Linked DNA regions of Drosophila melanogaster. The protein of the gene in region 3 interacts with the protein of the main gene of each other region in a pairwise test. Each region holds a gene or a part of one and is shown on either strand. Other genes may lie near its edges. The genes, in order: Secp43, CG10959, RpS30 and ple.

What was found.
Region 1: the proteins of RpS30 (region 3) and Secp43 interact in a two-hybrid assay, tested with the Drosophila melanogaster proteins (one large-scale study listed by BioGRID).
Region 2: the proteins of RpS30 (region 3) and CG10959 interact in a two-hybrid assay, tested with the Drosophila melanogaster proteins (one large-scale study listed by BioGRID).
Region 4: the proteins of RpS30 (region 3) and ple interact in a two-hybrid assay, tested with the Drosophila melanogaster proteins (one large-scale study listed by BioGRID).

What each region holds. Positions count from the first base shown.
Region 1 is NT_033779.5:4,452,667-4,456,132, forward strand, and holds Secp43 (tRNA selenocysteine associated protein), read right to left. Parts: upstream 1,788-3,466; 5' UTR 1,697-1,787; coding exon 1,661-1,696; intron 1,600-1,660; coding exon 625-1,599; 3' UTR 503-624; downstream 1-502. Other genes in the region: CG15439 (uncharacterized protein), read right to left, coding at 1-285; ND-B8 (NADH dehydrogenase (ubiquinone) B8 subunit), read left to right, coding at 2,063-2,160, 2,222-2,328, 2,390-2,472; Gs1l (GS1-like), read right to left, coding at 2,660-3,072, 3,448-3,466.
Region 2 is NC_004354.4:8,147,146-8,151,202, forward strand, and holds CG10959 (uncharacterized protein), read left to right. Parts: upstream 1-1,637; 5' UTR 1,638-1,752; coding exon 1,753-2,331; intron 2,332-2,399; coding exon 2,400-3,152; 3' UTR 3,153-3,541; downstream 3,542-4,057. Other genes in the region: CG2129 (uncharacterized protein), read left to right, coding at 1-201; CG15336 (uncharacterized protein), read left to right, coding at 870-1,349; Gbeta5 (G protein beta subunit 5), read right to left, coding at 3,922-4,057.
Region 3 is NT_033777.3:20,848,741-20,851,953, reverse strand, and holds RpS30 (ribosomal protein S30), read right to left. Parts: upstream 1,439-3,213; 5' UTR 1,327-1,438; intron 1,121-1,326; exon of another isoform or gene 1,100-1,120; 5' UTR 1,089-1,099; coding exon 1,011-1,088; intron 924-1,010; coding exon 603-923; 3' UTR 527-602; downstream 1-526.
Region 4 is NT_037436.4:6,713,509-6,721,225, forward strand, and holds the start of ple (pale), read right to left. Parts: upstream 6,018-7,717; 5' UTR 5,566-6,017; coding exon 5,497-5,565; intron 4,508-5,496; coding exon 4,396-4,507; intron 4,165-4,395; coding exon 4,045-4,164; intron 3,919-4,044; coding exon 3,826-3,918; intron 3,442-3,825; coding exon 2,622-3,441; intron 2,327-2,621; coding exon 2,200-2,326; intron 1,861-2,199; coding exon 1,462-1,860; 3' UTR 1-1,461. UniProt on the Drosophila melanogaster protein: Plays an important role in the physiology of adrenergic neurons.

The DNA.
Region 1 (3,466 bases), on a different chromosome or scaffold from region 3:
GCAGTGGTCCACTCCATTGATCCCGTTCTCCAGTGGTGACGGTTCCGTTTCCGCCAACAGCTGCCGGAGCTGCAGTGTTGAATCCTCGCTCTCCGCATCCGAATCCGATTCAGAATCGGAGCCACCACTGGCGTCGCTGCTGCTACCGTCGCCATCGCTCTCGTCCTTCGATCCGTCCGAGCAGTTGTCGATGTCCGGCAGGAAGTCGCTATCCGAGGAACTCTCGCCCAAGTCAAAATCGAGCAGGGCCTGCGTAGTAATCTTCGGCTGCCGCGCTCGCTTCATGATTCAACGCTTATTTAGTCCGCAATTGTCTGCACAATCTCCGAAAGTCTCGGGCCAAGGCAGAAACTATCGACAGTCGATAGGCCGACATGGCGATGACACGGACAGAATAGTATTCCGTCTGTATATCGATAAAATACATCTGTTGTAAGGATATTAGGGATATTTTGTAAAAATGTATCCTTTATTTTGAATCCTTTGTTAAGAAATGTAGATTCAGGAGCATAAAAGTTTATAGCAGGCTCAAAAACAATAATACGCTACAAGTCAGGCTTTTATATTTTTTGCTTATATCTAAGCTGTAATTATAGTAAGCTATAAATATAGTAGATAAGTATCCTAAAAGACTTCCAGCTGCTCAATGGGCAGCCACTTAGAGCTCTCCAGAGCATCGTACAGACGGCGGTCGGCATCAATGGCCTCTCGGTTCAGTTTGTCCACATCCAGGACGAACTTGTGCTCCACCAGTCCGTTCTCATCCTCAGCTCCATTGGCGGCGGAAGCGGTCTGCTGCTGCTGCTGCTGCTCGTACTGGGCGCTGCGTTGTGCGCTCCAGGCCTCGGCGTGCTGGGCCAGAGTCTGCGGATTAGAGTGCGACTGCGACATGGCCTGCTGGTAGTATGCAGCCGCATCTGTGATCGAAGCACCGGCCTGCTCGTAGTAACCTTGCCAGGCCTGGTATCCCTGCCAATAGGTGCTGGTGGGGTCGTAGTACTGCGAGTAGTCGGTGCCACCTGCTGCAGTCATACCGCTTCCATATCCATAGTTTGTGTTGCCTTCGCCCACAGCACCACCCAACTCGGATTTGGGTTTGGGCACGGCATTGCAAATCTTTATGGGCTTGGTACCCAATCCGATGTACCCGTTCATGTCGTACAGCGCTGATTTCTGCTCATCCTCGATGCCAAATCGCACAAAGCCGTAACCCTTGGAAAACCCCAGGCTGTCCAAGATCACCTTGGCGGTTTTGATCGATGTGAACTTGCTGGAGAACACCTTGTACAGCTGATAGTCGTCCACGTCCGAGCTGAGGTCGCCCACCCAGACGCTAAATTCGCGTTCATTCCCGGGCAGCTTGTACGAGTTGCTGGCCGAGTTAAGACGGAATCGCACAATGGGATTGGTGCCCGGAATGGGCTTACCGTTTAGCTTGTGCATCGCGTCCAGCGCATGGTCATCGGATATGAAGTTGACGAAGCAGTAGCCGGCCGGTTCGCCCGTGTACTTGTTGCGCATCAGGCGCACCGTGGTGGGATCTTCGCCCATCTTCCGGAAAGCGGCGATTATGAAGTTCTCCGTCATGTAGGACTCCAGCTGAAATGGCCATGCGGGCTTAAAGGGTCATGTGTCTGGGGTAATGCACGTTGCTACTTACGCTTCCCATCCACAGTTGACAATGCACGGACGCCATAATTGTTCAAATACGTGTTCAATTGAATATTTTCCAGAGACAAATGATGTTTACCAAAACAAATGAGTGACTGGCCGTCAAGCATTTATCGGTATTTATCGATGTGGGCCAATCAAATGCTGACCTGGTGTCAGCCAAGACAATTGCCTTGGTTCTTGTCTTTGGAATGGATATTCAAACGATGCAACTAATGGTTCGCGTCTCTGGTGAGTTAGACGTTATTTTAGTTTGAGCCAAAAAGTAATTTGTTTTTAAAAAACAATAATACCAATATGTAATCCAAGACAGTTTGACAACCCTGCGTAGTACCGACATTTAAATAGACTTACTTCCTGAACATTTCAAAATCGCAAAAGTGGTGCCAAAATGGGTATTACTCTGTTCCGATTGGCCAGTTTTACTCCAAAACTGAAGGAGCTGCGAATCATTCTGGATCCCAAAGGAGACACTTCCAAGGGAGTCAGGTGAAATTGTCATTTTCCGCTTTTAAATTATATAATTTGCTAAAGCAGCGTTCCTTTACAGGGAATACGTGGAAAGGTTCTATCCAAACCTGAAGAAGAGCAATCCCGACCTGCCGATCCTCGTGCGCGAGTGCTCTGGCGTCCAGCCCCGCCTCTACGCCCGCTATGGTGAGTAGATTAGCATAATGTGCGCTGCTAGCTTCCCCCACATCGATTCCCATGTCCGCAGGCAACGGCAAGGAAGTGTCCCTCTCCCTGGCCAACCACGCTGCTCCTGACATACACAAAAACCTGGAAGCGGTTGGCAAATAGAACTTACGCTGGAAAACTATGTAGATTAGGCGCAAAATAAAGGCAAAGCCAGATGCTTTATGCACACATACGTATACGTGTATATGGGATAACATTTACACTTAAATTCATTTTCTTGGTAGGTACATCGATTTCCAATTACAGCAATAGCATCTTTTAGCTACAAAAAGTACGTCAGCCATTAAGTTCAATCCGTGAAGGCGGGCAGCCCGAACTGCTCCGGCTTGAAGTCCGCCAACGAGGCCAGCACTTGTGTGGCGTGCGAGGTCTTTTCCTGGGACAGTCGTGGGTCCGGCACCATCACCACCTGCATTCCGGCGCTGTTGGCAGCCGTCACGCCGTTCGGCGAGTCCTCGAACACCAGGCAGTCGGACGGTTTGGGCGGCACACCGAATCTGCCGGCGGCCACTAGGAAAATGTCGGGCGCAGGCTTGCCGTTGACCACCTCCTTGTCCGACGAACCGCACACCTTGTGGTTAAACAGGGAGAACAGCTCCCGATGTTGGGCCGTCTTCAGCTCGACCATGTCGGCGCCGGAGCTGGTGGCCAAGCAAAAGGGTACCTTGTTGGCGTGCAGGTGACGCAGCAGGCGCTCAGCACCTTGAACGGGGAAGGAAGCACACGATTAACAAACGGCTTTAATCACAGTAGGATAGTAATTGAAGCAGAAGTATTTATAGGGAGAAATGCCGATTAGTTTTCTGGTCGTGGTGCTAACCTTCCAGCAGGGGTACGTTGTGGAATCGCTCGTGGCACATTTGCGAGTACCGCTTGAGATAGTCTCCGGTTGTGATGGGCAGCTGGCACTCGGTGATGGCTATCTCTGCCGAGCGCTGGTCCGTGGTGCCCATTACCCGGAAACGCACTTCCTCCGGATACGGGCGGCCAAAGGAGGCGGCTATTTGCCGGGTGACCTCCTCGTATATCCTCTCCGTGTCTGAAACGTGACGGCAAAGCGAGAACTGGGATTAGTACCTGGCATCAACTGGGCGTT
Region 2 (4,057 bases), on a different chromosome or scaffold from region 3:
GCCATGCATTCCACGGAGCGACCGCATGTGTGCAGCGTTTGCGGTGCGACCTTCTCCCGACAGAAAGGCCTCTACCACCACAAGTTCCTGCACGCGGACACCAAGCAGTTCGTGTGCAAGCTGTGCGGGAATGCCTATGCCCAGGCCGCCGGTCTCGCTGGACATATGCGCAAGCACCGGAACGACGAGCTCAACGGATAGGATCCGGATCACCGAGGTCGTAGTCTAAGTTGTACGTTTTGTATCTTCCAATTCCGACGTTTAAGTTCAGGAACTCAGGCATAGGCTATATATAGGATTACCATAGAAATCAATGGTTTTTTGCATTGCTCCGGCATGGAGCGGGTATCATGTGACTCTTCGGTCCTCGTTTCACGGGTTTCCATCGAATTTATTTGACACGCACTGTAAATAATATCCCTAGTTTTAGATAAACTGAAAGTTTGTTAATCTGTTTCGAGTGAACTTAGTTTGAGGCAAATTTAATTGGCTCGATTGTAAGTACTAAGACTAAACTACATTTCCATGAATTTTCTAAACTACCAACTCAAATAATAACTAAACTTTGTTAAGGTTTAAACTATACATTAAGCACACAATGCTTCCAAGAACCAAATCGAACGCCGTAATCTCGGCAACCGGATGTGGCTAGTATTCGAATGGTTAACTTTTTTGTATTGATAAATATACATAACATGAATTTGATTCGCAAAAGAGAGCCCGCGTTTAAAATTAGCCAAGCGATTTGGTACCTTTGACAGCAATTAATCGGTCGACTGCTGCTAAAGCGGCCAAATGCCAAGATGGTATTGGATGGGGTGCGTCTAACAATAGTGCCGACGATTAGATTTGGCACACGCGGACCGACCATGTCGGCGGAACGTCCAGCTGCCAGCTCCGATAATCGGCGACTTATGTGCGAGTTCTGCGGCTATCGGACGCGCATCTATTGGAATCTGCAGATCCATCGTCGGCGACACACCGGCGAAATGCCCTTCAGTTGCCAGCAATGCCAGGCGCGTTTCCCGGCCAGCTATCAGCTGAAAAGCCACTTGGAGCGGCACTTGGACGCCGGCGAGCGACGCCAGCGGCACATTTGCACCGACTGCAACGTGGGTTTCTCCAGTTCGCGGGCCCTGTACCATCACCGGACGCTCCACGAGGATGGGAAGCGCTTCAAGTGCTCCCAGTGCGACAAGTCGTTCGCTCAGGCGGCGGGCTACGCCCAACACAAGCGGATTCACCGCCAGAGGAACCAGCGAGCCACCGAAACCACGGATCTGAAGGATCTGCAGATCAAAAGAGTGGTTTCAAGTGTTTTTCATCGGCGCGAGTTTAACACTGCATAAAATTCAGTGGAGTAATTAACATTTTATTTTTGTGTCATATTCAAATTTAAAAAAACCGGGTAACCGATTCGTTATTTCAACTGAAGTGCCTTATAAATAAAACAGGCAGTATCACTTTCTAAGAGTCTGGTAACAAATTGGTAACACTTGAGAGGAGCATATTGCTTAGCTATTTAATATACATAGATCAAATATAATTAATTTTGAACTTAAAATTTATTTTGTAGTTTATTCGGTCAAACGGTTAGTTTGGTTTGAAACATAGCTGAATGGCTGTGAAATCAGTGCTGGTTTGAGTCTGCACTAAATGTCTATCGAAGTCGATCGAAATTTTGTTTACATATTTTATTTTAATTTTGGTAAATAATATTGCAACAATTTTAATGTAAATAAGAATCAGAAAATGTTGAGACACTGCCTCGCCAACGTCGACTACGTCCGCCTGCACGCCCAGCAGCAGTTGCGTCCCAAATGCGGCGAGATCTTCTACGAACCGGAGGCGAATAGATTCCAACTGGTCTGCCTGCTCTGCGACATGAAGCACTTTGGATTCGAGGACTTCGCCCGCCATATCCGTAATGTGCACTTCGACAAGCAGGGCCGACCGCTCACCAAGACGGTCACGGGACTGGGCAGACTAGCACGAGAGGAACAGGAGTTCCAAGGGGTCAGCGCAGAACCATTGGCTGTGGACAGCTTCAAGAAAGAGTACCTGCCCAACGAGGATGTTCTGTCGGAGGAGGAGGACGCGGAACAGGAGCTGGGACTGGAACAGGACGAGGGCAATCCACTACGCATCATGGTGCTCGGGGGTAAACAGTCCGTGGACGAGGAGACCATCGATACGATGTGGCAGCCGGATCATGACAGTTCCTCCGCATCCGTCAACGAGGGGTGCGCTCTGGAGGCTCTGTTGGGCGTGGAAAATCCGCAAGACTATCAACCGGATGAGGACGGGGAGGAGCACCAGTCTGTTTTTAAGGTAGAAAAACTGTAGTACGTGCACTTGAAGAAGGAAATCCAATATCTGAATATGTTTTTTCCCTGCAGAAGCAGCGCCAACCAAAGGACTACAACTGCCCACACTGCGACAGGAGGTACACGACGCAGAAATACCTAAACACCCACCTAAAGATGAGCCATCCGTTTCCGCAGGCCTTCAAGTGCGTCGACTGCAAAGCCACCTTCGATGTGGACCGAGCATTGGCCCAGCATCGTCGCAAGGAGCACACGGAGTTCGCCTGCCAGCTATGCGACAAGGTGTTCAAAAGCTCGCGATCCCTTCTTCGCCATGTGCAGGGTCACTCCGGCGCCAGGACATTCAAGTGTGAGCACGAGAACTGCGGCAAGTCGTTTGTCAACCAGCACAACCTCACCTCGCATCGGCGGGTCCACAGCGAGGAGCGGAACTACGTGTGCGAGCTGTGCGGCTATAGATCCCGCTACCGGGAGGCGTTGATCGTCCACCGGCGCACGCATACGGGCGAGAAACCCTTCCAGTGCCAGACCTGTGCCCGCCGCTTTGCCTCCAAGTCGCTGCTCAACGAGCACCAGGCCATGCATTCCACCGAGAAGCCCTACAAGTGCGACAAATGTGATTCGGCCTTCTCCCGCCCGAAGGCGCTCTATCACCACAAGCATCTGCATTTGGGCATCAAGAAGTTCAAGTGCAAGATCTGCGGTAATGCCTATGCCCAGGCGGCAGGTCTATCCGCTCATATGCGAGCGCACAAGCTCCAGGCGTCCGTAAATGCGACGGAGGGTGCCGAGGCGGAACCCATCGAGATGCTTTTCACCTACTGACCGAACTGAGTGGAAACCTCCTGTCGCCTTAAGCTCTATTTCCATATAACTCAAGATATTCAAGATACACCACAAACAATGTTCACTGTTCTAGATTTTATAGATAGCTTATCAATGTTTATGGACACCCGACTCTTTCGTTCCAACTTTTCACATATATATATATATCTGTAAATAGTATTAGACATTTTCCAATCTAAGGCCGCAAATGTTCTTTTTTAATTTAAGTGATGAAGCCTTCCATTTCTGTGTCTCAAAAATTAGTACCTACATATCAGTAGAAGTCGTGTGTAAGCTGTTATATCTGTTAGTTTAGCTAGTTTTAAGCCAAGACCTTGCTTCCGACTAGGACAAACCACGTATGTACAATAAATGTTCTGATACACGTTACTCCAACATGGACTTTCAAATGGGCGCACAAAGAAGCCAGTTTGTCTATAGCTCAACATTTATTTCGAACAGGAACTTATAACTAGTCGCATATTGGTTACACTTGGATGCATATACATGTATATATTTAGATTCAATTTGGTACAGCAGCTGGTAGTAAGCATAACACTGCGGTAACCAAGACATCCATGCTGGCAATCCCGACATGAGACATATGTACACACTTGGGGGATCACCGAATCCGTAACTTAACTATCCTAGAGATGCGATGCACAACACAAAAAAAAAAAAAAAAAACAAATCAGAAGAGAGGGAAAACAAAGCGAGACGGCATCTGTCCTGGACAAATGCATCCCCCAACAATAAGGTGCCACATGGCTTAGGCCCACACCCGTATGGTGTAGTCCCAACTGCCGGTGGATAGAGCGGTGCCATCGGGCGAGACCTGGACGCAGGACACCTTGTTCTCGTGCCCGTACAGCAGGCAGACCCTTTCCGATTTCAGCGTGTCCCAC
Region 3 (3,213 bases):
GCTTTCTGGTCCTGCTCTTGGGCTTCACGTTGGCTCTTTTAATAGTGTGCGGCGAGTTCTGGTATCGTCGCTTTCGGGCCAGTCGAAAACGGCGTCAGTTCACCAACTGACCACTGGGGAATCCTAAGAGCTCTTGCCATGGAATAGTGTAATGAATGAGCAGTAACTGGCATGTACAACGCTGATGAAAATCGTATATAGATATAAACATTTAAATAAGCTATCAAATATAAATATATCAATTGAGAGCTCCATTTCATTTACCCTACTAGTAAACTGGTTTCCCGCCATATGCGGTGGTCGAATTTAAGCAGGTAACTTTAGCAAAACTATTGCACCAGCTGCGTAATGTGTGGCATTTTAAGGCTTCACTTTAAATAATTAACGTTACACTTGATTACTACTCCGCGCACTACCGCACATCTATAAATTTCTAATAGTTAATTATAAATAATCAAGGTACGAGATTCCTCCAACAATTGCTTGCCGTGATTTAACAATTTGAAATGCGCAACACCGTTTGTTTAAAGGTTTGAAATTACTTTATGAACAATCATATCAATCTGGAGTAAAAGGTAGACACTTGTTCATCCAAAATCCTTCTATGTGGAGTTGGCGTTGGGGCCGCGACGACGGCCGAAGCCCTGCACAAAGTTGACGAACCGGCGGTTGTACTGGATCCTGCGCTTGGCGCGTCCGGTCTTCTTCTTCTTCTTCTCCTGCTTCTCCACCTTGGGCGTCTGTCCCTTGACCTTGCCGGCACGGGCCAGAGAACCGTGCACCTTACCTCCCAGCATGGGAATGTTGAGGTCCAGCTCAAAGGAGCTCAGGGCGGTCACGGGAGTCTCGTTGGCCAGAGTGATGCCCTCGCAATCGAGGCTGAATTCCTCGGCGTTGAATCCATGGATCTGGGCCAGTTGGTTCTACGATCGCGATGGCCACAATGGACGAGGATGGGGAACACACAATTAGGTTATGTTATTTGTATATCAGTCATTGGGGGGACTCACCTTGACTCCGGCAATGGTGGCATCCTGGGAAACCTCCAGGGCCTCGATGGTCTCTAGTCCACGGACGAACAGCTGCATGATGATTCGCTCTGCAAAGTAACCATGCCGCATGCATTTATTAGTGAAGATATTCATATTGACTTGTAGGGCGAAACACGTGTGCCGAGTTTCAGTCAATTTTTCCCTTTTTCGGTCGTTTTGCAGTTGGCATTTGGCGTCCAACACACTTGACAATCGCTCGCACACACATTTCACAGGTATTTTGGGTTTAACTGGGCTATTTTCTATTATATTTCGACAAAAATCACTCGATTACCTCTTAACTTGGTGTGCGGATCCCGAAAAAGAAAGATGGCGCAGAATTATCGATGGGCCTATCGATTTTTGTTGTGCAACTATCGTGTCAGGCGTTAGTGAATTGCATTTGCATGTCTGGCAATAATATTGAGGGACGGGTAGCTAGGCTGGTCAATCGATTGCTTCTATCGATAACTTAAAGGGTAACCAGTCAGAATTCTGTTCAAAGGGTTTGGTATATTCTCGAACTTTAGTATTTTATAACGGCTTTGTTAGCTTTAAAAATCGATGTACTTATGTATTAATAATATTTAATATACTTTACTTCAGACAGATAACACTATTATTAATGTTTTTCTTTAAATTTATGATTTTCAAAGATAACCCAAAGCAAATAATAACTTTAATTAGTTTAGGGAATATACTGCGTTCGTAAATTTAAATACTTATTTAAAAAATAATAATATTTCAAGAAGTGCTAACTTTACCCGTAAACAATCAAAACTGTACACTGATAAGTTTCATAACTTGGCATATATGAGAGGTTAGTTTCCATTTGATTATTAGGCAATCACTTTTTAAATCCTCCTGCTAATTAAAAGAGTTATGAGAGTTACTTTTTAAAGCCTGAAAATAATTAAATTTGTATTATATCATTACTCGTAGACCGAAAATCTTATAATATTTCTGCAATATTACACGAATAAAGCTTGGGCTATGGTCATTGGCCATGCCATTGTCTCCTTTCCCTCAAAGGATCGCAAAAGGACAGTCTGGCTGACGCCTCGCTAAGCCAGCACACCCCGATTACCGCAATCTACGCAAAATGGGTATTACGTTGAGCCCAAAAACTAGTCCGCCCGCAACCATCTTCAGCGTTTTCCCAAGTTTTTGTGGGCCTCGTCTTACGAGTACAAATGAACCATTTACGGAAAATGGGCCATAAGCATGCGCCTGCGCTTGTCCTTTGTTTGATCCGCAGGGTGGACGGAAGAGGGAATCCTGGAGGACTGTGGGCTGTGTGTTATTCTACGCCATTTGAATAAATATTGCCGCATTGTTTGTCAAACAGGACTAGATTAGTAACATAAACATTCGCTCATAGAATGCAAATCATAAGCCGATTTGACAAATTTGCACGAATTATCTACGTCTAATGAGTGCGGCTTAGATTGGTCACGATCCTCCGAGGATGTGGATGGGCACTGGATGGAAATCCGGAGTCTTGAAAAGAAGACCTTGGCTATACACTATTAAAGGTATATATATAATTTAGGGTTGCATGTATTAATGATCCTTCGATACCAGATACGAAATTTAATATTACTCTCAACCCTTCGACAACGACCACCTTTCGATGCTCATTTAAGATAGCAAAGTGTCGCGTGCATTTCCCTCTTTATGTTGTCCACTTCGATTTGGATAGATATCCCAGGCATTCCCCTACGCCCATGATCGGATTTACTCGGGATTAGGGGCAGACAGCTCCTGGATTTGCGTAAACTCATTTGTCTGACCTTGTGGCTGAAAATGGACTAGGGAAACGCATCCGAAATCATTTCCCCCAAAATCACTGTTTGGAGGAACTGCCGCTTTGTAAACTGATATTTTACAATGTTTGCACACAAAGGCAGCGGAAAAAGAAATTACTCTTGACCATAAAAACAACGGCAACAATTGCCAAATCGGCTTAGCCTGCCCCTCGTCTTTATTTCGCCATTTGCTGTTTTTCCGGCACGCGAATTTCCACATTTTCATTCACCTTTTCGTGCGTATTTTCCCATATGCGTTTCATTTTAAGCAACACATACATATGCATGTATTATCATATATGTGGGGTCGGCATTTTTGATCCCATTATGTGATGTTGGCATGAGAAAAAAAACAGTGAAGTCAATCAGTTTCC
Region 4 (7,717 bases), on a different chromosome or scaffold from region 3:
CAACGAAGCCTGGCTTGGGGACCAACTGCGCTTTAAGTTGATTATATATATAGATTTATGTGCGAATATAATTAGTAATTAGTTTGGCTAATTGCTTGCAGAAATGTTAACACTTGGTTGGCTTTCGATCCAATTGCAACTACAATACATCGAACAATAACAATAAAATTCCATGCTACGTTAACTATAAATATGTAATATTCTTGATCCCAATGTTTTACTTTGTTTACTTTGAAATATTTTGATTTTAATTACTTTATAATAATACATATGTATTGGTCCAAGGTTTTTCGTTATTTTATATAATTTCATCAAATTTGTGAAATATTTTCTACATAGCTCGATTTTAGTTCACATGAGATTCACTTCTTCTCACCCATAAATATATTTATCATATTCCTCGATTCTACTCATTAATTTTAAATAAATATTCCATTTTGATGTCATAAAATGTTCCCTAAACAGATTCAGACTTTAGAGTTTCGAATTGCCAAAGAAGATAATCAAATGAAAAAACCAAAGAGTAATTATTTTTCAATTGCATTTTTAATTTTATTAATACACAAAACTTAAATAAAATAATAATGTTTAAACTCTACATACCTACAATACAATACGTAATAGTCATAAGTATAATAATAGATAATAATAATAATAGTACACAATAGTAATATTGTCGTTTACAGTTATTGTACAATGTAAGAAAATTCTGTTTTGTTTTCCATTTCATTTTTTATCTTTTCCGTTTTTTTTTTTGTTTGTTTTCCATTTGTTCCTTGCTCGATTGTTGTATCTATATCATTTTTGTTTAGAAATACTCTCTCTAAATGAAGCTTCCTATACCGGGAATACTATATCGCGTGTCTATATAGTCTAGGTAAATATTGTGAGAGGCAAAATGAAGATAATAATAATACAAAAACAATTTTTGTCTGAGTATACAATCGGTTTTTGTGTGGTACTTTGCCTACTAAGTGCGGATGTATCTGAACTTTGCTTTCCCAGCTTTTCACTTCACTTAATTCGCTTTGCTTTGCTTGGCTTGGCTTGGCTTTGTTTTCACATCACTTAAACGTCTAAAGATTTTTTGGTCCAATAATAGTTGCGGTGATAAATATGCAGGTTGGGTGGTGTATCGGGTGATCAACAAATAAATATGCTTGATTTTTGTGTTTTTTACCATGTGCGCGATTCGACAATTACAACTTTTCGATGACAATTAAATAAAAATTAAACAAAAAACAATAAACAAAAAATAAAAAATAATGCGCGATGCCTTAATTTTGGTTTAAGGATTACGTGTACGAGGGATTGTGCGGTATGTCAATTTAAAATTAATTTGTATAAATGAGACCGTTGCACCTGTATGTGTATGTTTGGGTGGTGGGGGTGGCTGGTGTTTTTTTGGGCGATGTTTTTGGGTGCTTCTATATATCATACATATATCTCCCCCCCATCCACTTAGAACGGGCGTCGCAACTTGGAGATGGCGTTGGTCAGATGCAAAATCTCCGTGTTCATCTGGTGCACCAGAGTCTCCAGCTTGTCGACGGAGTCCAGCACCTCGACGCGCTCGGTGTGCGGGTTGAAACGCACCTCGAATGGACGCGACATGGTGCTCACCCAGCGACGGAACTTGTCCTTGGCATCCTCGAAGCTCTCGGCCACATAGTAGATGGGCTGGTACTCCTGATCCTGGTAGGGCTGCACGGCGGTGGATGCGGGCTCGAAGGCGCGGTGCTCGCACTTGTCGCTGATGGCATGGAGCAGCTCACCGTAGGAGCTCAGGAGTCCAGCACCGTAGGCCTTGATCTGACCATGTTCCTTGCAGAGACCGAACTCAACAGTGAACCAGTATACCTGTAGAAATGAAATGGTAAGGAACCAATGAGTAAATAGGAAGGAAAATAAAAGCAAAGGCAGATAATGCAGGAAGTTGTATGACTTATAAGATCAAGGTTTTCTGAACTTAAAAACTTATTTAAAATCACAATTAAGTGTTTTGAAATGCATTAAATTGTATCTGTAAACTATATGAATAAAAAGAAAAAAATTATTCTGGCATTGAAGTTCACTTTTCCTCTTCGACTTTGACAGTGACTAAACAATGATCTTGGTTGCGAAAAAAAACTAGCTGCGTCATAGCTGCACTTGAGTCTAAGGTCGTTACATTGCAACTCAATTAGAAAATCAACTCACCGTGGACAGCTTCTCGATTTCTTCGTCGGAGGCACCCAGCGAGGCCAGTCCAATCTCCTGCGAGAACTGGGCGAAGCTGGGATCGGCCAGCAGGGGCATGTGACCCAGCAGCTCGTGAATGGAGTCGCTGTAATGGCATAGAATAATGCTTGTTAAAAGTGTGGAAAATGTGCTGGCATAAGGCAATTAGTCTGGTTAAATGAGCTGGGCAGCCTGCCGCAGTTCCTGTAGCCAATTTGCCTGTGTTCCAGGCGACAAAAGTTGCTTGGGAAAAGCGGAAAAGGAAACCCAACCACCCACACACACACAGAGGCAGGCGGCAGGCAGGCAGGCAAATGCAATTAGGCTAGGACAAAGAGCCTTTTTCTCCCCTTTTTGAAGTGATTTTAACCCCCTAGTAAAATATGATGATAGATACTTACGGCTCGGGGGTGTGGTATGGTGAGTTAACGTGGCGCACATACTGGGTGCTCTGGAAGATGCGGAAGGCCAAGGAGGCAAGGAAGTCCCGGGCAGTCAAAAGACCGGCGGCAGGACGGAGAGAGAATCCGGTGTTCTTGCGCAGAAAGTCGGACATCTCCTGCAACTGGGGCAGACGGGTCTCCACGAAGATCTGCTCATCCTGGAGCTTCTGGAAGGCGGCCCGGTACTCGGCACAGGCGTGCTTGGGAGCCAGATCCTGAACGGTCTTGAACACCGAGCGCCAGGTCTTGACCTCCACATCGGAGTAGTCGATGAATGGGATCGGGTCTCCGTACTTGTAGGCGAATGCGATCTCGGCAATTTCCTTGCGACGCTGGCGGTATACCTTGTCGGCGAATCCGGGGTGGTTCATGTCCAAATCGGGCTCGTACTTGGTCATCAGATGGTTGCAGTTATCCAATTCGGAGGCGTGCTTGGGGAACCACGGAGCCTTGACATTCAAGTTATTGTCGGCCATCAGATTCATGCTGCTGAAGGAGCCCGACTGCCTGAGGGAGCGGATCAGCTGCAGCAGATTGCCACGGGTCATGTCCAACTTGATGAGGACATCGTGGTCCACGCCCTCCACGCGCGACTGACGGGACTCCACATGCTGGACGGTGCCGTGGAAGGTTTCGATGGCCTTGAGGATGCGACCCAAGGAGGAGATGCCCTCCTTGAGGCGGACCACCAAAGCGGCACTCTGCATGGCAGCCTCGGCATCCGAGGATTCGGAGGCGGCATTGGCCAACAAAATCTCGTCCTCGGTGAGACCGTAATCTGCAAAAGGGCCAAAAAAAAGCGGGGATAATGTGATGGTTAAGGATGCAATCTTCCAAGGCTTAGGGTCACGTAAACGATAAGCGAGCTACGTGGCAGTGGCAGTGAGACGGTTGCCAGGCAAACGCATTTCGTACTTGTATTAAGTCGAGCGTAACAAATGAAAAAGGGAAATGCGACATTTCCACAGAGAGAGAGAGAGAGAGAGAGAGAGCGAGCGAGCGCGCCCACTCACAATTGTCCGTGTGGCTGAGTGCTTTTCCTCTGCCCTGGCACTTTATCATATTAAGCACTTAAATCAATGTCGCACGCTTTTCAAAAGCCCCTCTCAGAAGTTAAGTACTACTTATGGTTGGCTGCTGGATTCTAGAACCCCCTGCTCACCGTTCTTGGTCGGCTGTTGGTTGCCTTCTGGCTCCTGCGACTGCGACTCCGACTGCTCCTGTTCAACGCTCTCAAACTCAACATCCTCCTCAACTAAAAGCGAATGAAATAAAAATAATAATAAAGCCCATGAAAATCATAATCAAAATCAAATCAAAGATAATAGGCTCAGAAAGAGGAGTAACTGGCATGGGAATTGAAATGGAAATGGATATTAACCTGGAACATATTCCTCCAAGGGCAGGTTCTCCAGATTGGCATGCTCGTCCTGGAGCTCCACATCTTGCTCGGAGGGAATGTGCTCCTGAGCCTGCACAATGCAATCTTCCAGGGAATCGTCTTTAAAATCATAAAAATAAAAACGAAGGCAAATAATAAATAAAGGGTTAAAATGAATAAGAAAAAAACGCAAATCTATGTCAAAACGAATAAAATGAAATAAAAATTGCAACTTTTTAAGTTTTTAATCAACAAGTAAAGCCCTAGCTGCAAAATTTCCCTTTTGATCCCAAATAGAAACCCTCTTTGGAGCTATTTTAGTGACCCACTTGTTGGACCCTATCCACTTACCATTTGCCTTGCTGCGGGCCTCCTCGAGGACGGTTTGTTTGGTCTGCTTGACCACCAGGGTCTCGAAACGGGCATCATCCACCAGGCTGCGACGGCGGGATGGATAGCCATTCTGGAAACGAAAGCGAAAAGATTGAAGTCCGTGTTAGTGACACTGGCAGGATGTGGAGCGGAAATTAGACGATTGCCTTGACCTTCAAGCCAGGGTGGCTTTCTTCGGCTCCACGCTTGGGTGGTGACTTTGAGCAGAGTATTGCGCAATTTTGAAAATATTATATAAAATGGTGTGTGAAAGCGCCGTCTTCAGATCTTTTTCTTTGAATAAAGCTGGCTATTCATGGAACTGTATTGATTGTGATTCAAAGCCACGAATGGTAATTTAATGCGATGTCGCCGCTTCGAAGCGGGCAGGTGCGAAGATAAATGATATGTGACTGAGAAATCGAAAATCCCCATGCGATTCTGGCGGGAAAAAAATGCAACTGGCGATCGTTAAAGGTTTTTTTTCTTTCTTTTTCTTGATGGGGGGAAAAAGGTTTCCATCACTTGCAGTTTTCACTGTCAGCTCGTTTTTTTTTTTTTTTGTTTGTTTGTTTTCTTCAGTTTTTTTTTTTGGGCCACCGCTTTGGCTGATGAAAGATGACCAACTCATTGAATCATTTATATTGATTTCATATTTTTTGTTTTGCTCGGACGCAGCATAAACATAAACAGAGACGAGTCAACAACAATGAGGCGCGACTGTTTCGGCCAGGCTAAGTGCATGGGGCCCAAAGGCAGCCACTTTCACTTATTTGTTAAATAATAACTTAACACACAACCCGTTGTGTCCGTTGGCGATTTGGGCCTTTCGATTTGGGCCGCCTGTTCTTAGAGGTGTGACTTAATGGCCAACCGAGGATTGAGTTTGGTCAAATTGAATTGGCGAAAAAGAAATGCGGGATCACAAAAATGGGCTCGACTACTGGCCGGTTAACTGGTTTTTTTTTGAAAACACAAAACCTTTAGATAGTCACGTAGACCAAATCTAGTCACTCATTTGCTTCTTTTTTTTTACAATTCGATTTGGAAATTGTATGTTTTGCTGGATTTTCGACTCACCTCAATACTGTAGGATTTCTTGATGGCGAACATCTCGCGGTTCTTTTGGGCTGCTGCAACGGCCATCATTTTTTTTTGTGTGTTTGGGTTGTTTTCGTTTGGGGTGAACAACAAAAATTTACGCAAAGTGTTGGCAAAAACACTTAGAATACTATTTGCTTATGTGCTTGGTTACGCTTTTCTTGTTTGATTTGCAATAAGCACTCGAAATGTGTTGACACTTTCACTGCTTATTGGCGATCTGGCTGGGTGGTTTTGTTTTTCAAGAAAATCGCTCCTGGTACTGAACTGTTTGCGTCTAGAATTGAGCTGGACAAGAACTCTCGACTCTCGAATTCACGGCGGGATATATAGATGGTTGATCGGTTGAACTTTAGCTGGATCCTTTCGCGAACTCGAAACTGATGTGGTGATGTGTATTATCCTTGTCAGCTAAATTGTATTACAACAAACAGAGTCAGCAAACTACTTGAGGCTGGGCACAAGTCTTTAGGGCGAATGATAGCGAATCAATGCATGCTTCATGTCGAGTTGCCGCCGCTTAAATACCCCCAGATTCCGATTCCGACGGCCAAGTTAACGAACGTTTCGGCCGATTGCCGACGATTGTTTGCTTCACCAAACGACGATGACTGGTTTTCGCATGACGCGACTGTGACGTAGTTGCCCAGCTGTAGCTGGGTTAAAGCCAAGATGCCGATGCCGTGGGGTTTCCTCTCACCAGCCAGCTAACCAGCTAGCCAGCCAGCTGAGTGGGTCGAGAATCGCGGGGCCTGACTCGACTCAACTTGGTCGACCAAGTTCAAGTGCGGCAACAGGCTAGAACGTCGCATTGGCCATGTTTTTGTTGCTCTTGTAGCTTGGCTAAAAAGCGGGGTTAACCATTAGCGCGTGCGCGTCAATCGGAATGGTGGTAGAATACCCCAAAAGTATTCAGTCAGTCGAACGGGAGTCATTTGAAAAGCCTCAACAGGTCATACAGAAAAAACCAAAACAAATCCAAACAAAGCGAAGCTAGTCCATGCCAAATGTTAAGCATACGCCGTGTGTGCACAGAGCAAAATAATGAAAATATATGACATTCTTACTCTGTAAGTTGTTTTAGGGAAATGTTTTTAACCACTAGAATTATTTTAAAGAAGTAGGTTAAAATTATTAAGAATGTTTTAGACAATAAAAGCACCTTACGTTTATGATACGTTCCATTTTTCTAGGTGTAACAACAGTCGAAGATCTCGTTCAGTTTTAGAACCCAGCAATTCGCATTAGATCCTGAATGACTCAATCGAATCGCGTCAGAACTAGAGCGGATGCTGAAGCGGATCGTATAGGGACCAAGTGAAAGTGAGCTGGAAAACAAAGTAATGGTAAACAGGAAGTACGGATCACATGGCTGCGTGCGTGCCCGAGATGTAAGTAGGTGGCACCCAGCCATATCGATTAAATTTTAAAAGCACATTTAACAACTAATTTGCATGCGTAAATGTAGCACATTAAACTAAGCCCGGGCGATAAGTACAGGCACATTACAATATCTATGGCATAATTGAAAGCCCCGTCAAAACATCTGGCGATTGGGATTTGCATATGGCAGCTGACGGATTACGAGACCGACCATATAGCAATCTATATAAATAATTATATATATATTCCTGTCCTGTAAGCTGATAACGTTGGCAAGGCTGCCGCCGCTTCTCAAATTGGACTCGGGCCGCCAATTCGAATGACATTTTCAGTGGCAGTGGCAGTGGCAGCATTATTTTCAATCGTGTTAGCTTTTAACCAAATTCAGTTAGCGGCGATGTCGAGATCGAAGCAAATTTGCCATTGATCTACATATGTGCACTTGTACTTGCCAACAATCCGGTCATCCTTGCAGCCTGCATCTAGCAACTAACTAACTAACTAATGCCGATGTTAATGCGGACCGTTCAAATTAGTAGATCGAATCGTTTGATTGAGCTAACGAGCCCGATAATGAGCTAACACATCACATATACGTCTATTTGCTTCGATCCGCATTAAGTTATTAAGGCATCTGGAGTAGCAAAAACATAATTATCGATCTGATAGATCCATTATACAAATTGGATCGATAGAGTGGGATTGGTGAGTTAATAAGTTTGTGGGAGCTAGGAAATACATTTGACAACATCGAAAAGCTTTTTACTTAGAATATCGAGGGTAATAATTAATAAATAGCACTTACTGGAAATAACTT